Oryzias latipes: one gene and its partner. The protein of the gene in region 1 interacts with the protein of each later gene in a pairwise test. Links are inferred from orthologs where the notes say so. Each region holds a gene or a part of one and is shown on either strand. Other genes may lie near its edges.

Region 1 (8,979 bases):
TATTACAACAACAACAAAAATTATCCTTAAATATTACATAAAAAAAATTATTTTCTTGTTTATTTAAAAAAAGGCCCCCCTAGAAGGTTTATGTCAAAATCTTGTCCTTTTAACCATGAGCACTGGATATTGAGAATTTGGCTCAATTGCATGGCAAGCTGACAAAGCATCTGAGGATGCCAGTTTGCTCATTTCCTGGTAAAATAAAATTAGCAAAATGCAACCAATAATATGGAAAGAAAAGATCCAATTAAAAAAATAATGTTTCCACTGTAACTGTTGATTTCTCTGCTGGAGTTTGAGGGTATTGTGGTTTTTAATAACCATATGAAAACTCAACAAAGTGACTTTCTTTTCCATTTTTGACTCAGAGTTTGGTGTCAGTTGTGCGTCTTATGATCTATGTTGGCGTAACATTTACTTTTCTAGTTTTGGAATACTCACACAGCTTTATCTTTTTTTCTAATATATATATTTATTTCTTGTTTTCTTAACACATTAACAAATGAAAACTCATCCACAGAACAAGAAAAAAACAAGAAACATTTTTCCCAAGAGTACAGGGACAAATTACACTTGCAAGAATTCATAATAAACCCATTCAAAAAATATATTAAAAAAAATATGAAGTTGAAAATAAAATAAATACGTTGTTACTTTAAATGTTAAAGCACAAATACTTTCTTAATAATTGTGCTAATGTCTAATCTGTCAATAACAGAAAAGGTTCCCAGGTCTTAACAAAGAAATCATCTTTGTGATGCAGTCAACAAGTCATATAATCTAGGTAGACATAGTTTAATACAACTTTCTGCCATTTTGACCTAAAGGGAAACAGGTTTATCTCTTAAGATAATTTCATTTTCTTTATAAAGCAAACAAAATATTCACAAAATGATTTTTTAAGGATCATTAAAAGTTATCTAAGTTCTTAAGTTACTCATTAATTACATTTCTATTGTACTTTGTAACATATTAGTTGTTATTAATAATAAGAAATTGCATTGTTTGCTTTCCGTTAGAAGATTTTTGTTAAAGTAAAGCCACACATTTGTTGCAAACATTTCACGAGAGCATCAGTCAAGCAGTCAATACGTTTGCTGTTAGTTTGGAAATAAACAGGTATGCTGCTCAGTGCACCTTGTTCAGAGTAAATATTTATCTAAAAATAAACCCCACACAGGCAAACCATTTTTTGCCTCCACCCTTTTGCCACCCTCACCCCCTCCTGATGTTTGGGCAAACACAAACAGGGTTGGAGCCACTGGAGGGAGAGAACCCAGACAGGCATACACAGGGGTAGTATAAAGATATATTCCTCTCCAGTGTCTTTCGGTTCTTTTTACAGCAGTACATGGTGTGTACCAGAGTCATGGCTCATCTAGCTGCGCCTGTCCTCCTTCTCAGCTTTTCCTTGCTTTGCTGCAGCAGTCCATCTCGTACCAGGAAGGCCATTTCTCCCAGACAGGCTGGAGGTATAGGCTTAAGCCACTTATTCTTCATGAATCCATGTTTGTCGGGGCTGATTTGATTGTTTTCTTGTCGGCATGCAGCTGAGGATGATGATGTAAAGTCGCAGATTGAGAAGTTGTGGCAAGAAGTACATTTACTGAAGGAGAAGCAGGCGTTGCAGACAGGTAAGACCCTGAACATTTGTGAATGAATAAATTAGGACAGTTGGTAAAATGCTTGAATCATATATAAGATGCTATTTATAATGATTACTAATGCTGTCATGCCAAACCATATTTTAGAAATTAAGAGTAATAATTAATTCAACTAAATCTATCCTCAACTTTTTTTTGTTTATCACCACTGGAGGGCAGCAGCACACATTATTTAAGTAAAAAGCAGTTAACTGAACGTCACATTGGAAAATGTGAACACAATTGGTTTCAGATTTATTTTGGATAATTTTGTAACTAATGAGTAAACGGTGTGTCAAACAACAATATTACAGCTGAGTTCTCACCTAAAAGAAGTTATATGTGTTTCCAGTGTGTCTGCGGGGCATCAAAGTACACAGGAAGTGCTATCTTACAATTGAGGAACCCAAGCATTTTCATGATGCAAATGAGGACTGCATCGCTCAGGGAGGAACTCTGGCAACGCCACGAGACATGATGGAAAACGGCGACTTGAGAAATTATGCAAAGAGGAGTGCCCCAGGATCAAGTGAGTTTTGGATTGGTGTGTCAGACATAGTGAAGGAAGGTCAGTATGTTGATGTCAACAGCATGCCAGTCAGCTACTTCAACTGGGATCGCTCCAAGAAGCAGCCCACAGGAACGAAGAGGGAGAGCTGTGTTGCTCTTTCAGTGGCAGCACAAGGAAAGTGGCAGGACGAGGTGTGCCGCAGCCTGAAGAAGTACATCTGTGAATTTGTAATACCCTGAAAGAGGCAGCACTGAGTCATTTGGGATTAACAAAATGTAATTATTATTAAAAGTTAACATTTTTCAAAACATTTTAACTTTGATCTATGTATTTCTTAAAATTTCAAGCCACTTTTTTCTGTTTGCCTGTATGATTTCCAGTTTTGGTGACGTCTGTACAGAACATGACGTTACTGCTTAACATGTGAACCTGACTGTGGAAGATCAACACAAAGGAAACAACAATACATAGTGACTTGAGCTTTAACAAACTTAACCATGACTTGGAGAAGCAAAACCTGAAATATGACAGAACAAAAGAGTGACAACAAAAAATGGTGCAACCAAAACCATGGTTGAGTGGTATTAAATGAAGAAATCAGTTGTATTATTTTAAGACAAACCCTGTGTGCTCACTGTGCAGTGGGGGAAAAGCTACAACAGAAACTGAGCAAGAAAATTTAGGCACAAAAATGATTGAAGAACAAAACCAATAAATCTAAACCGAAAGGATACAAATTCTCACAGACGTTGCTAATCTGGAGATAGATGTCTTTAATTTTAAGAAAAAATGGTTTTAGAATACACCCACTGAACTGTTAGAATGATACATAACAACAAACCCATTAAAAAAAAATTACTTTTATGGACCGTATTGAAGACAAAGAATATTTAAATAGCATGCTTTAAAATCTGTATCTGATATTTTAAAGATATCCAAACATTACATCCATTTGGTAAAACCCATTTTAAAAATTCCATTATAAAAAATGGAACTGACATGACAAGTTTTTTTTTTTGCTAAGTTTACTATTATTTTTGTTTTGATTGTTTGAAATAAAGCATTTCTGAATTCAAATTCCTTTGGTTATTCATTTTGTCTGTTTTTTTTTTGTTTTTATGATTTTTTCCTGCCTTTTCTGTAGTAAAAAATAACCCACCAAAAAGTTAGTTCTTTCTTAACCTTGGAGTTGGGTTATTTTTAATCTATAAAGTTATTAGTGTATACAACACATTTAACCTATACTTAATTATCTTGCAAGAACTACAAGGAATCTGGAAAACTTTGCTTGCACTGTTCAATACCCAGTCACACTATTTTTTGTCTAAACATGTCCTGGACTGATATTAGCTCTGTTGAATCCAATCGTATCGTTCATAATGAACCACCATTGATTATGAATCATATCAGCAACCACAAATTATGAAATGAAGCAATTCGTTTAAATAAATCGTTATGCTCCTAATTGACATGAATGAAAAATGTATTTAAATGAAGAGGAAAATCATTCAGTGACAAATGTTCTTCATATAGATGAAATGACCTCGTATTAATGAGCTTTATATTTTTCTTGTTAAGAAAATACATTTCTTAATTGACTGTACACACCTTTAACAATGCCATATCTGCAAAAGCCAGTGAAAACAGACATATTTTAGGCAGTGATTTTTAATTTTTATTTTTTTTTTATTTTTATTTAATCTAATAAATCAGATGTATTAAAATGTAAGAGTTTGACAAATTCATCAGTGACTGTTTACTTCCTGTCAGCGCCATCACGCACGCTCTGGGATGTGATGTGACGTCAAAGCCTCCGAGTGGGGTGAAGTCTCGCGGAGAAACAGACCGGCCATTTTTCTTCAGTTGGAGTAGGACAGTTCACGCTCTGGCAGTGAAGCTGACAGTGTCGCGATCACTTTGATAAGCTTGCAACTTTTGACAAGTTGAATTTTTGTGTCCAAGCATCTAAATTGACAACAAACTGAAAACAAACCATGTTTGTGTGCACTGCTGGAGAGTTTATCCGCTGACATCTTTCTCCGGATAGATGCTCTAAAAACTCGGTACAAATGGAAATGGTGCCTAGCGAGGAGACCCAGTTCGTACCCAAAGAGGTGAGGTTAATACAAAACCATGTTTAGATCGGAGATGTTCTGTTTGTGTACTAGCTGCCACCTTGCCACCCCGGTCACACAAATAATTAAACTTTTGCTCTACTTTAGGAGTTATGGTCTTGGTGTGTCGGGTAGTGGCCAACTCAACTGCTAACAGTTAGCTTAAAATGACTTGAACGGCCTATGATGACACGGCTAACTGCTGCTATTAGCAGCTAGTTTTGCTTTAGCTTAGATAGATGAAGTAGATTGAGTTTTGGTTGCTTCATTTTAAATATGTTGTGTGGTTAGTTGGGTCGTCCTCAGTATAGGTTCTTAGCAGTAGAAATGTTCTAAAATTGTAAAATCTTGACACTTGACACTGTGCGATTTAAAAACCGAGAGGCAATTCATATTTGTCAACATTAGTTAGCTAAACTTGCATAACGTTAGCTTGTAGGATTGACTTGCTAAGGTCTTTAATCTGGTCAGTTGCAACTGTAACTGACAATAATTGGTTAAAAACAAACATTTATATATTTTTTAATTTACTTCTGAAACAATAGCAACCCAATAACGTAACCTGTCCGAAAAAGTCAAAGCATTGCCGTACTTTTTAAATTCAAACGGATTTATTTACTTTGATTCTGACTGTCTTTATAGTTTATGATTATGTTGAGAAAAGTAAATTGTTCACCAAGAAGCTTAGTATATTAACAGAACTTTTGCTAATAATATGATGCTGTCACTTATGAAAAATGTCTGGTATTTTGATAAATTAAATCCGACAAAGCTAGGTTTAGGTTTAGGGACTTTGCTGTTGATTGCTCGTTTATGGTCTGTTTGCTGACCGACATGTTCATGAAAGCACCTGTTTCCATGTTTAATCGTGTTATTTCATGTTTAACGGGACTAATTAACTCTCATTATTTATTTAGTCTTCGTTGATAAGACATAGAAGCAAGCTTACAAACAATGCAATGATAAAGTATACGTACGACCCATTATGGCAGTTTGATTTACTTGACTTAATGATGATGCAGCTCTAACCCAGGCGATAGTCACTTTTAAAATCATATTACCCAACGAATAACATTATGTTTTTGTAAACAAATTACACTGCACATTATTTTTTATATCTTACAATTCAAACATGACTATCATTTTGGCAATGTAATTCTTATTCAATTTTATTATGTTGTGTTATATATTCATTCTTGTGTGAATATATTCAACTGTGCTGGTTTTTGTGTGGAAATGCTAAACAACTTAAAATGACTGGAAATTGATGGATATTTAATGAAAGAAAAAAAACAGAAAAACCTGAGCTTTTTTCCCATTTAACACTAAATCAACACACTGTTTTAAGCCTTACAAAAATAATGATGAAGAAAAGGTTACAACACTTTTATTGTATTTCTTTAAATAAAAATCTTGTTTTTTTGGATGAAAAAAAAAACATTTAGGCCAATGTTGCCTCATTGGAAGGTTTTTGGGAAATGTTTAAATAATTAATAATCTGAATTTATATTTTCAAAGTTAACAGTTTCATATCCCCCTCTCATTCTATTGTTTACAGTTCAGCTTTAATAATATAAAATGATGTTGTGTTTTCCTCTATAGAAATCTTTTCCTTTTTATCGAACAGTAGTAAAAAAAAAGGCGTTTGCCTCATTAGTTATTACTTAGATCTACAAATGCCGCCTGTCTTTCTTGTTACATGTGGCTTCATGTTAGCACCTTGTGATTATATCCATGATAAAAATAACCTTTAATCTCATAATACACTTGTGTGTTGTCAGCTGCAGCTTCTGTATAAGACCTGGCAGTCACATTTTGCCAACATAACAAACCTCCCAAAGAGGTGGCAAAAACTAGATTAAAATTCTTTCACTGCAATATTTATTTCAATTTTCAAGATGTTAAAAAGACGAGGCAGATCAAAAGTGATTCCTGTTCCTGGATTGTTTTTACTTTTGATAGTATTACTTTCTAAATGTTACCTTTATTTATGTGTTTCATTTGTTGTGGGTGTTTTAATTTACACAATTACACATTTGCACTTTTTGTTAGCGGGTGTTTTGGAGTTGCAGCCAGAATATCTTTGATGAAATAAAGAGACGCTCTCAGGTGAAGTGTACAACTAAGCTTGGTGTTGAAAAGTTGCATGAAAAACATGCCTGTGTTTACCAACAAACAAAAATTGAAGAAGGATCCCATTCAGGTCATTAGAGGTGCTAGTTTCTAACATGGATGTTGAGATACATGGAGCTTGTGATTACAATCTGTTTGGAATGAACATTACAAATGATTGGCCTTTGGGTCTTGTTGAAATAAACCATCCTTTAGAAATTCTGAACTCTCTAATATGAAATAAGTAGAAGATATCTGAAATTTCTGTTCCATTATAAAGACATTAAACACTTTAAATAGTTCTTAATTTAGAAGAATCACTCTCTACTAGTTTTATCAAATTAAGTCTACAGTTAAAACAATTATATTTTACTTTTAATTAGACAGATAACAGTTAAAAAAATGCCTTTTTTTCTTTCTTTTTTATTTAGTAAACTTAGTCATGTACCATCTCATTTATTTTTCTTTTCTTGGACTTTTTTGTGTCCATTTCTTGATCAATGCAAAGTATACCTTATACGGGTGTATTGTTTTTTTGTTTTTTTTTATAAACAATACACCCGGAAGTATGTCATACTTAAATGTTGACATGAGCTGCTTTTTCCCCTTGAAACTCAGGTTCCACCTGAAAAACAAACAGTTTGTGAAGTAAAGCATGAATCAACAGCTGCATGGCATGCTTTCAGTTTTAGAGATTTGACCTCTAACACTTTATTTCTTCTGGATTTAGCATCTCACGGTTTTCTTATCTGGTTGTTAGTAAAGTGTCAACTGAAGTGTGCGTCTTAATATTCTTTTAACCCCTGAAAACCACAGTGGTTGGTAATTAAGTTGACTAGTTTGTGTGAATGGCTGGTGTAATGATTCATTTTGAACAACAATTTGATTCACATCATAATTTGTGATTGCTTATACGATTCATAGTCGATATAGGTTCATTTTGATTGATCCGATTCACTGATGTAAAATCCATCCAGAACATCTTTAGCCAAAACTTTAACCAGTGTGACTCAGAGATAAATACCTGGAACTGAACAGTGCTGGTGAAGTTTTCCAGATTTCTTGTATTCCTTGTAAGATAATCAAGTTAAAATTAAATATGTGTATTAATACAATACAATACAATACAATACAACACAATATAATATAATAGGCAAAAATTTATGGCAAATCTATTTAAAATTTGCCATTAATTATATTTAACTTATTGTGGGTAATTAGTTTTCCAAATTACATACTTTAAAAAAGATTCAGATGCTTTGTACTCAGTCTAACATATTGTCATTACAGGCATGAAGTGTTGCTACATTGGTTGAGTTTTGTATTGTATATTAGCTGACGATTGGATTTAAAAGACAGCTTTTAAACAACTAACTGGCTGTTTTTTCAACAAAATGCTGGATCATATATGAGTACATCAAAGGAATGTACGTCCTCCTGATTTTCAGATCCACAATGCAGCTGAGGAGCCCAGGGTGCTGTGCATCATTCAGGACACCACCAGTGCAAAGACGGTCAATGAGAGGCTGACCCTCAACTTGCCAGCTTCCACCACTCTCTCCAAACTCTACGAGGACGTCGCTCACAAAGCTGGATACATAAAAGGCACTTTTGACCTCGCCTGGGGAAACGTTCTGGACATGGTGAGAAAAGTCACTCTAATGGCTGAATATTTTTGGAGAATTAACAATGATGAGGATGTTAGTGGATTTTTGTTTCTATAAATGTTTTTTCTTTCTTTCGTTTATTCCTCTGCACAACAAAACACCACATCGATTTAACAGTTGTGGATAATATATAAATGGCGAAATTCACAACAAGTATTTTTTTGTGAGTTTTTATCTATTAGGAGAGACTGGATTTTTCATGAGCTAATTAAATGAAAAAAAAATAGAAAAGGATTCTGTTGTTTCTGTCCATGACACAAACATGTGAAAAAATAAAAATACACTAGAACACAGTGCAAATACATTTTACTAAACAGCATGGATAAATGCGGGCCAGATGGTGCAAAATAATGCTCTTGTGGTCTCCCATTTTGTAGGGTCACGTAGGCCAACTATTATGACTGTGTTCTTTTATAGAAAAGCTGTTTGGCAACTGATTTTCAGAGTTTGTTACGTTCCTTGGATGTTTTGTGAAACAGACTTCAAATCTTTAAACTACTCTTGATTTGTTAGGCTTAAATTAAACTAGCATCAGGTATTGAATGATTGATCAGGGCAGTGTCTTCTATCACAAGACATTTTTACTGTTCCATCCATCCATCTTCTAAACCCGTTTTGTCCCTTTCGGTGTCATGGGGCTGCCAGTGCTCAACTCTGGCACTCATGGGCCAAGGCAGGGGACATCCTGGACAGGTCACCAGTCTGTCGCAATGTCACATGATATCACACCCATAAACACTCGCATTCACATCAAGAGACAATTTAGAGTAGCCGGTTAACCTATGAAGCATGTTTTTAGACGGTGGGAGGAAGTCCCCGGAGAAAACCCACACATGCAAACTCCACGCAGAAAAGACCCCCAATAGTTTTGCTGTTGATTTTTAATGTCATTATTTTTATTTTACTGATCAAAGTTCAACTTCTAGATA
Region 2 (8,879 bases), on another chromosome or scaffold:
CTTTATTTCGGCTTGACTGCAGTTCTGCAGACAGACTTGGACGTGTTCCTGCAGATGTTGTTTCTGCAGATGTTGCAGTGGCACTGAAACTCCCCCTAGCTGTCCCACCGGGGTGAACTGTTGCCCCGACAGTCCTCTATCCTCTGCAGGATGATCCGGCAGCTCTTCATCTTGTCCTCGAAGGGCGACCCCCTCCTCTTCAGAGACTGTATCCTTCTCAGCTCTCACCTGCTTCTGTTTAAATCATCCTGCTTTGAAGTTCAGTTCTGCTATACAGTGAAAGATCTCCCCTTTGGGACAGACTTACTCTAGCAGGGGTACTTGTACTTGCCCATCTGGGGTACATTTTTTGCATCAGTCAGACACAGGTGTTTTAAAGTTGTTATTTTCAATGGTGATGGGCTTCTCTGAAGGCCTAAAAATTATCTGAATCATGTGTTAATTAGAGTTCGTCCATGCATTCTCATTAAATCATTCCAAATGGTCTGTCCATTCCTCTTTTAGTGTGTTTATGATGGTGATGCTGCTTCCAGACGTATTTTCACATTGGAACATTTAACCAATCACATTCCAGCTCTCCTTTGTTGCCAGGCAGGGTCAGAGCTACAGAGGCCTTCACTATCTGTTCTGCAGGCCCTCTAATGCAAAATCAATGTCGGAGATTAATTTCCCTCATCCAATCAGATTTTGAGTTGGTGTCAGCAGGGCCTTCTAGCAGGCTTAGACAGCGTCACAGTATTCAGACCCTCTGATTGGACAGAAGTTTCAGGAAGTCACATGCTTCCTTGTCCAGTTTGACACAGAGACATGGAGAATGATCTGTTCCCTCTCAGTTTATAGCAGACTGACTGTAATGTACTCCATGGAGGATTTAGCAGGAAAATCTCCCACTGATCTCCATCAGAAAAATCTGAGTGAATCGTGACCCTCCCCGTGTCCACTGTGTCTGTCAAGCTGACAGTTTGAGCTGGTTCATGAGGGGTTGAGTGATTCAGACGTAGCACTGCTGAAGGCCCAGGTGTGTTATGCACGGTCCACCAAAGGTTTTCAATAATAACGGTGGTTTTTATCATAACCAGATAATTGGGTTGGGGGTGGGGGGGTCTTTGCTGGGAACATCCTTCAAACTGGACGTTTCTCCCATCCTGAGCGACCCACAGCTTCTCTGTTCTCGCTGCTTTGGGCAAACAAAGCCAGTAATGGGATCCACGGCTGAAAAGAGGCGGAGCATCCCTGCTCTGGAGGACATGCGCCTCAGTGCATCCGTCAGGCATGAGTCTGAGTCTACCTTGACCCTGGCTCCAGTCCGCGGAGAGACGGGGGACGATGATGTGGTCAACGTTTTCTACCAGAAGGTCACGGCGCTACCTGGAGACCAGCCTCCGGTTGTCATGGTAACCTGTCCTCCAGCGGAACTTTTCTATTTGTTGCAGCTCTTATGGAGCACGTTTAGATGCCCTTAAGGGCCGTGTGTACGCTAACAAACTCTGAAACTCCGTGAACATGGCAGCGCTAACAATTGTAGTGTGAATGTGTCTTTAAAATAAACGACACAATGCTGCTGTTTGAACTCAGGGAGGAAGAGACTCTTGTTGCCTTGGATACACAACACTACCCTGAGATCCCAGACGTAAAACTACAAAGCATTCAGATGGCGTGGATGCATGCTGGGAAGGATTGTATTTTCAGGGGGAAATCTACTTTTGTTATTTAATAAATTTGGTTATTGGATGAAGGAGTTGGGATTATATCACCAAGTAAAATAATCCCAGATCTGCAGAAATAATGTCTGGCTGCTTTTATAAGTCTGCGCTTTTCTCCTGCAGACGCTCAGAGACCTCCACTTCCTGCACATCAGGCAGGGGGGCCTCTACTGGGTCGCCACCACTTCAGCCGACTCCTCGCCCTTCACCATCGTTGAATTCCTGAACAGGTTTGGTGGTCAGCTTCCTGGACCCTCCAGCAGAGCGCGCTGGCTTCTGCTGTCAGGACTCTGACGCTCTGTGTTTCCAGGCTGGCGGCGCTAGTGAAGGATTACTGCGGCGGCCTGTCAGAGAAGTCGGTTCAGATGAACTTTGCTCTGATCTATGAGCTGCTGGACGAGGTTCTGGTGAGTGCCTGACTTTGGGGCTGTGGTGGAGCGTCCTTCCTGCTGAATTTTGTTGCTTTTGTTGGTCACCAGATGAGATGTTTGGGTGAAGCTGGGTAGCTGTGTTCTGCAGTGGAACCAGCTTTGACTCCTGTTTGTTTAAAGTGTCAACATTCAGAAACACAGAGCAGCAGGCGGGACAGTGAACGCATCACCGCCTGCACAAACCAGTGAAAGTGGAGGACATTTTAGGTTAAATGAGTTTGAGGAGCTCAGCTAAAGATGCGTCTCTTGTGTGGTTATCATGCAGGTTTCCTGTCCGTCCGTCTGTCTGTGTTGCAGGACTACGGTCACATCCAGACCACCTCCTCTGACATGCTGAAGAACTTCTTGCAGTCGGAGGCGGTCAGCTCACGTCCGTTCAGCCTCTTCGACCTCAGTAACGTGGGCCTGGTAGGCTGCTTCTCATGGGTTTACTGTCATGCTGTGTTTACACCGGGCTCGGAAATGTGTGTTTGAGTGACTACTTCATATCCAAAGTCTATGTAAACGCACATATAGGCGTGTTTCAGGCTTCAAAAATATGGCATTCTCTACATACAAAACACGGTGACATTGAACAGTTTGACCAAGCAGGAACTCAGAGTTGGTGGTGACATATGCATTGCACCCTTTTTAAAACACGGAAGTGCTGACCGTTTGAACATGGATCACGAAGAAGAAACTTTTAATAGCAGCTTTTGCTGGCTGGAACTTCATGTCACCAAGTCTAAGTCTGAATTCCCACCCTAACCTCTAACTACTAAAAAGCTATATACCCCAGATTTTAAAAGCAATTCGGACACCGTGCTAACTACTTCTATTTTTTTTTAACGGCGGATATGACGTCATTAATTTAATGAAGTTCAAATCTAATTAATATGAGCGTTTTGTGGTGATTATTTATGCGTCCACCGTCTTCTGAAGATAAAAACGCTGATGATTTATTTAAAAAATGGTTCCAGCGTAATGCATTGTGGTCTATGTTCACTGATCTAGTGAGCATCGATCCACACTGCTGTTTCGCAGAGACTTCTGGGAAATTTCTAGGGCACTCGATCTTTGGAATTGTAGATTCGGACGGCTCTACAAAATGGCGAGCGCACTATATAGTGCACACAACCCAAGTCTTTCATAAATTAGAATAGAGCTGTGAAAGAAAAAGGCTGGAGCTAGATTTGCGGAATTTGCACGGCTTTGACATTTCACACCAAGCCTCTTCCAACTGTGAGCGCATGCACAATCTGTTAGCCACAGACCCGTGTGCACCGTATGCAAAAAGCGTGTTCAAAAAGCCACGGTTCTTGAAAGCGCCGCACACACCTGTTGTGTGTGTAGCTTTAGCGCGGCTCCTGCTCACGTCGTGGTGGTTTCTGTGCAGTTCGGCGCAGACACTCAGCAGAGCAAAGTGGCTCCGAGCTCCGCAGCTGCCAGACCCATCCAGGCCAGCAGGGAGCAGGTAAGGTCACTTCTCCATGGAGGTGTCTGACCCCCGCCTTTCCACGAAGTCATCCGACTCCAACCGTCTCTGTCTTCCAGGGGGGGCGGAGCGAGATATTTGCGGACGTGGTGGAGCGGATGTCGGTGGTGGTGGGCTCCAATGTGAGTGCATCAGCTGAGGCTTTCTGCAGGTCCTGAGGCGTTTCGGGTTCAGAAAAACCACAAGCACGGATCCAGCGGTCCTCAAAGTTCTGACCGGAGTATGGATCTAAGTGGAACTCTGGTCCTGGTGGGAGAGACGGTGTCTATGTGGGCCTCTTCAGAGCTCACTTCTTCACAGGTTTTCATGGCAGGATATGACATCACCAGCCCTGCCCTTCCTGAAAATAGACATACAATTCAGTTTATCTATAAAACTGGTCATTCTATTGTCCAACCAAGCAGAATCACAAGGTTAGGATTATTATAATCCAGTTTAGTGTAGATTATTCAAAGAAAACAGAACTGTGTGTGATCAGAGGATTAGACAGCAGGAAGTCCTGCTAAAGCCGACACGGTAACTACTGAGCTCTCTAAATTTCAGGAGGATTTATTTTTGGTGAATTTTTTATTTTATTTGTTGGGTTAGGGTTAGGGGTTAGGGTTTGTTGTGTTGTTCAACACCTGAAAACAGAGACGCTCTGTCGTGTTGGGAAAAATGTCGGTCTGTGAGATGCTCAAGCCAGCGGCAGCTGCCAAAAAACCTGCCGCCTTGTTTTACAAACAAGAAAAAGAAAAAACTTCATGCTGGCTGCTCTGTTCTGCAGGGGGTTCTGATGAAGGCGGACGTGGAGGGGGAAATCCGAGTCAAGTGCTTTATGCCCAGCTGCTCAGGTGAGTGAGAGTCCGGGTCACCTGAGGGTCACCTGGAGTGAACCTTCACTCACGTGTCGGTCTGCTTTCAGAGATCCGGATCGGCCTGAACGAGGAGCTCAGCATCGGGAAGTCCCAGCTCAGAGGTAAGGTCTCCACGATTCTTCAACGTTCAGGTCAAATGGAAGCAGGAGGGGGGTCTCCTCATGCTTCAGCGCGGTCCTAACTGTTGGAGGGCGGGGCATGACTTGGTTGGGGTGGGTCATAGTAACCTTTTCAGTGGGTTTATTTCTTGTTTTTTAAAAGTTCCAGCTTTGAACCGAACAAGCTGACGGTTCCCGTTTAGACTGTGGCTCTGCAGAGGAGCTGACCTCAGGTTCTGGTGGGTCTTCAGGTTATGGAGCGGCGGTTCGAGTGGACAGGTGCAGTTTCCACCAGGGCGTGCGACTGGACGAGTTCGACAGCCACCGGATCCTCCGGCTCTGCCCCAGCCAGGGAGAGGTGAGGCGGTCCAGTGACCCGGCAGGAATGTGTGGTGACTGTTTCTGTACAGACCCGTTAATGCGTTCCCACTTTGTTCTGTTAGGCAAATATCTAAGAGATGCTTTATCATTGAAAATCATCTCATTACCAAAGTTTATTCTGTTCCATTTCTGCTCTTCATCTGTCAGTGCTGAATCCTCCTCTTCCTCTGCCCCCCCCCCCCCCCGCAGCAAACCGTGATGCAGTACCAGCTGACCGACGACCTGCCGACCGCGCCGCCTTTCCGGCTTTTCCCAACCATTGAGCGAGATGGCACTGGAAGGTGAGACCGAACCTGCGGACCACTTTAATTATGAGGTTCAGACTAGAGCCCTGCGCGGGACTATTTTCTTCATCCCGCTCCCGCCCGCACCCGCCAAATTTCTGACCAATCCCGCCCGCTCCCGCAACGTATGCGTTACACTCCCGCCCGCACCCGCAATATGTATGTCCACTCCCGCCCGCACCCGCAAAACTCATAGAATTTAGTCCCGCACAGTAATAGAGATGCATTGATTTTGTATCGTCTCCCGTCCCGCAGAAAAAAACACGTATTTTTATTGATATTATTACAGAGATTCATGTCCCTCCTCCAGTCTCATCTTTTCATGCATTCCTCTTTTGTGTAATGTGCAACATAATCATTAAATATATTTTCACAAATCCTGTTCGGTAAAAAAAGTGTGCGTGTGTCCGCGACATTGTTTGTCCACGACAGACGGCCTGAAGCGCGCTGAACCAGCTGGGATAGATGCAGGTCAAAGTCATTTGCAGGAAGAAAAACATTGTAATGGTTCAACAGAGCTGAAAATCTATGAATTAATTTTTTCCTGACGGAAAAATACTTTTTTTTTTTTTTAGCTTCAGCCTTTTCCCGTTTTTGCTGTTTTGCCCCTCAGTGGGGCATTGGCACGCAGATCTGAACACGATGAACCTCGTTTGAGGTTCTTTTCTGCTTCATCAACTGACATCATGTCCCTGTCAGGAAACCTCTGCTTCTTCCTTATCCCGCGCAGTGTTGCCAGATAGATTGACAGCTCTTTCATCCTTCTGTTGCGCTAGAGCGTTCCGACTAACGTGTTAACCTGCTATGACCGTATTTTGCGCTCTCTGTGTAGAACACACTGGGAGCGCGGGGAAAATAACTCTAAGCTGCAGAGGATGTGAACAGGTGAACAGGTAGAGAGGAAAAGCAGGTAAAGAGGCGGGGGAGGGGCTTTGGCTTCAAACTCTGTCAGAGAGATGGAAACACGGCGTCAGATTGAGACGCAGCTTTCACTGCGGGAGTTGAAGCAGAGACTTTCTCTGGGATGATTCTATGAACTCAAACATGGAAACATGATTATCAAGCAGAACTCTTTAAAATAATAAACCTGATCTCTCCACATTCTTCGTGTCTACCATGCATTGATGCACACATCGCTCCATGCAGCGATCAGACCAGAACTTTAGCTGATAGCTCCGCCCATACGCGACCGCGGTATCAGGCTTTAAAGAACACAATTTCTAAGAGGCGGGGCGGGGCGCTGCACACCCCCAACAACAGGTTAGATGACAGTGGCCATTGGGCGTCTCTACCTGGTGCCTTCACGGAGCTTCAGTACATAAGACTCCAACAGCCGCACAGCCTAACGTAGTCCGCTATTATACATTCATGAGATATTCATGGCAAAACTGATCCCGCAGAGTTTTTTTTTGCCGCCCGCAGTACAATTCAAACCGCCCAAACCCGCGAGATTTGCGTTGGGTCCCGCGGGACCCGGCGGGACCCAATCCCAATGCAGCCCTCTAGTTCAGACTCACAGATCAAATTGTAATCAGATTACAACGAGCCCTCATCACTCGCTGTAATTAAATATGGCAGCTGTTGCTAGGTAGATTTATGTTCTAACAGGGGCATTTCTATGATCACACCTGTATGGACTGTAACTCTTTCCTGCAGAAGAATCCCCTGGAAGCTTTTAGAACCGTGGAATTCAGACCTTTATGTTGGGGGGGTGCTGGGACGAGCTTCTGAAATCTTCCACAACTGTCAGGTTTTGTAAGAGCACAGCTGTCGTGCATGTGGCATTGGTGGGACTGCATAATTCCAGAGAAATGCTCTTACGTTGTGACCTCTGACCTGCGGGGGTCACAATATTTAGTGCGCCCGTGTGCCCTGTCTGTGACCCCTCTCCCTGTGACCATAATAAGTGACTTACCCCCCACCCCCTACAGGTTGATCCTGTTCTTGAAGCTCCGCTGTGATCTGCCCCCCAAGAGGTCAGTTCTCCTGCTGAACATGTGAGGAGGAGGAGGATGCGGATGATGATGATGATGATGTCACTGTTTTCTCTACAGCTCCGCCGTGAACGTGTGCGCCTCCGTCCCCGTCCCAAAAGGAGCTGTGAGGTAAGGCTTTCCATCCACACCTGGGGGGTGCAGATATTTGGACGTGGGGGGTTGTTTGTGTGAACTCTCTTCTGTGCTGTGGTCCAGTTTGTCTCAGGAGCTCAGCAGTCCGGATCAGAGCGCCGAGCTGCAGTCCCAGAACCGGGCCGTGGTCTGGCAGATCCCCCGTTTGGCCGGTGGAACGCAGCTGTCCGCCTTGTTTAAGGTGAGCCCCCCGCCCAGCACCAACTCCTGTCAACCCCCCCCTCAGAGCTCACATCAACCTCTCTCTGGCCCCCTGTCCCTCTGCTCTCAGCTGGACGTCCCGGGCCTCAGCTCGGCTTCCATGCTGGAGGTGGGTCCAGTCGGTCTGAGCTTCGAGTTGCCCAAGTTCACGGCCACTGGCCTGCAGATCCGCTTCCTGCGCCTGTCACCAGTGCAGCCGGCCCCATCGCAGCGCTGGGTCCGATATGTCACACACTCTGACTCCTACAGCATCCGGATCTGACCGCAGCGGCAAATGCTGACCGGAACCGAGTTACTCTGGGCGGCACCGCCTCTGTTGTGCCCGGATGGAGCTGCTTGTTACAGCTGTGCTCTGAAAAAGTTGAGAGGCTGAGTTTGTTCTATGAGCAGCCGCCGGTTCAGCTCTCTGCTCAGAACCAGGGGACAGATGAACCTGCCCCGTGGTTCTGCCCCTCCTCTTCCTCTGGAGCCCCACAGGAAACCCAGCAGCGCTGAGCGGGTGAAAATGACTTTCCGGATCTCAAAGGCGGATCTACAGGATGCAGTAAGGAAAATATCCTGGAAGAGCCTGGAAAAGGAGGAGGCATGTCTGACGTGCACCCGTTCAGCCGTGCTCAGCTTCAGAGCTATACTCGAGAACCAGCACACCAGAACAAAACCATCCACCGAAACCAAACACTGATCAGAAAAATGTCCTGAAGTCTGTCGTACGACTTATTGGGTCTATTTTAAATTCTCTTTTCACAAAGATGGACAAAACTGTTGATCCTCCCACAACAATCACTGAAAAATCCATAACTATCACTGAGGTGATCATAAACAAAATCTACTGAGTGAAAATATATCACATGACACACGCATGGAAGCGTTTCTGTGCAGTTCTGGAGAGGCTGGGTCAGGACTTCAGAGGAAAAGCCTTTCTCAGCTCGATCAATGTTTGAAGTCAGTCATGGAACAAAGATTATACCAGGTCCAGATTGGGAAGTTTGTGTGTGTTTGTGTGAGGTGGGGACACAAACAGCTACACAACTGGTGACACTTACCAGCGGGACAAGGAAAGGAATCACACGAATGTAAAGCCTGGGTCTGTGCTCGTCAGCCAGCATTTTCCTGCTGCTTCATTCTTCTAATGATTTCATGATTCAGAGCAGCAGCTGCCTCTGACAGAAGAAGACCAGGCTCTCCCCAGAGTCTGTTCCAGTTTTCAGTGGAGTCCACGTTCTGAAACCACCTGGAAGCCAGAGGTGAGCATACAGAGACTAAAGTCTCCAGCATTGTCCTAACTACAGGACTCTCTGCAGCAACGTCAGCTCTGGTGACC

Evidence for each region.
Region 2: the proteins of usp47 (region 1) and ap4m1 interact in binary tests that used the Homo sapiens proteins (3 or more experiments, as listed by UniProt). The two-hybrid records come from large-scale screens. The link is inferred for Oryzias latipes from reciprocal best matches to the Homo sapiens genes USP47 and AP4M1.

The regions. Positions count from the first base shown.
Region 1 is NC_019861.2:20,348,223-20,357,201, reverse strand, and holds the start of usp47 (ubiquitin carboxyl-terminal hydrolase 47), read left to right. Parts: upstream 1-3,975; 5' UTR 3,976-4,226; coding exon 4,227-4,271; intron 4,272-6,323; coding exon 6,324-6,380; intron 6,381-7,831; coding exon 7,832-8,026; intron 8,027-8,979. Other genes in the region: clec3a (C-type lectin domain family 3 member A), read left to right, coding at 1,355-1,475, 1,554-1,637, 1,999-2,396. UniProt on the Homo sapiens protein: Ubiquitin-specific protease that specifically deubiquitinates monoubiquitinated DNA polymerase beta (POLB), stabilizing POLB thereby playing a role in base-excision repair (BER). Acts as a regulator of cell growth and genome integrity.
Region 2 is NC_019872.2:23,459,929-23,468,807, reverse strand, and holds part of ap4m1 (AP-4 complex subunit mu-1), read left to right. Parts: 5' UTR 1-150; coding exon 151-208; intron 209-1,305; coding exon 1,306-1,394; intron 1,395-1,826; coding exon 1,827-1,933; intron 1,934-2,013; coding exon 2,014-2,110; intron 2,111-2,431; coding exon 2,432-2,542; intron 2,543-3,509; coding exon 3,510-3,587; intron 3,588-3,667; coding exon 3,668-3,730; intron 3,731-4,374; coding exon 4,375-4,441; intron 4,442-4,512; coding exon 4,513-4,566; intron 4,567-4,814; coding exon 4,815-4,921; intron 4,922-5,133; coding exon 5,134-5,225; intron 5,226-7,159; coding exon 7,160-7,204; intron 7,205-7,282; coding exon 7,283-7,333; intron 7,334-7,420; coding exon 7,421-7,538; intron 7,539-7,628; coding exon 7,629-7,820; 3' UTR 7,821-8,879. UniProt on the Homo sapiens protein: Component of the adaptor protein complex 4 (AP-4). Adaptor protein complexes are vesicle coat components involved both in vesicle formation and cargo selection. They control the vesicular transport of proteins in different trafficking pathways.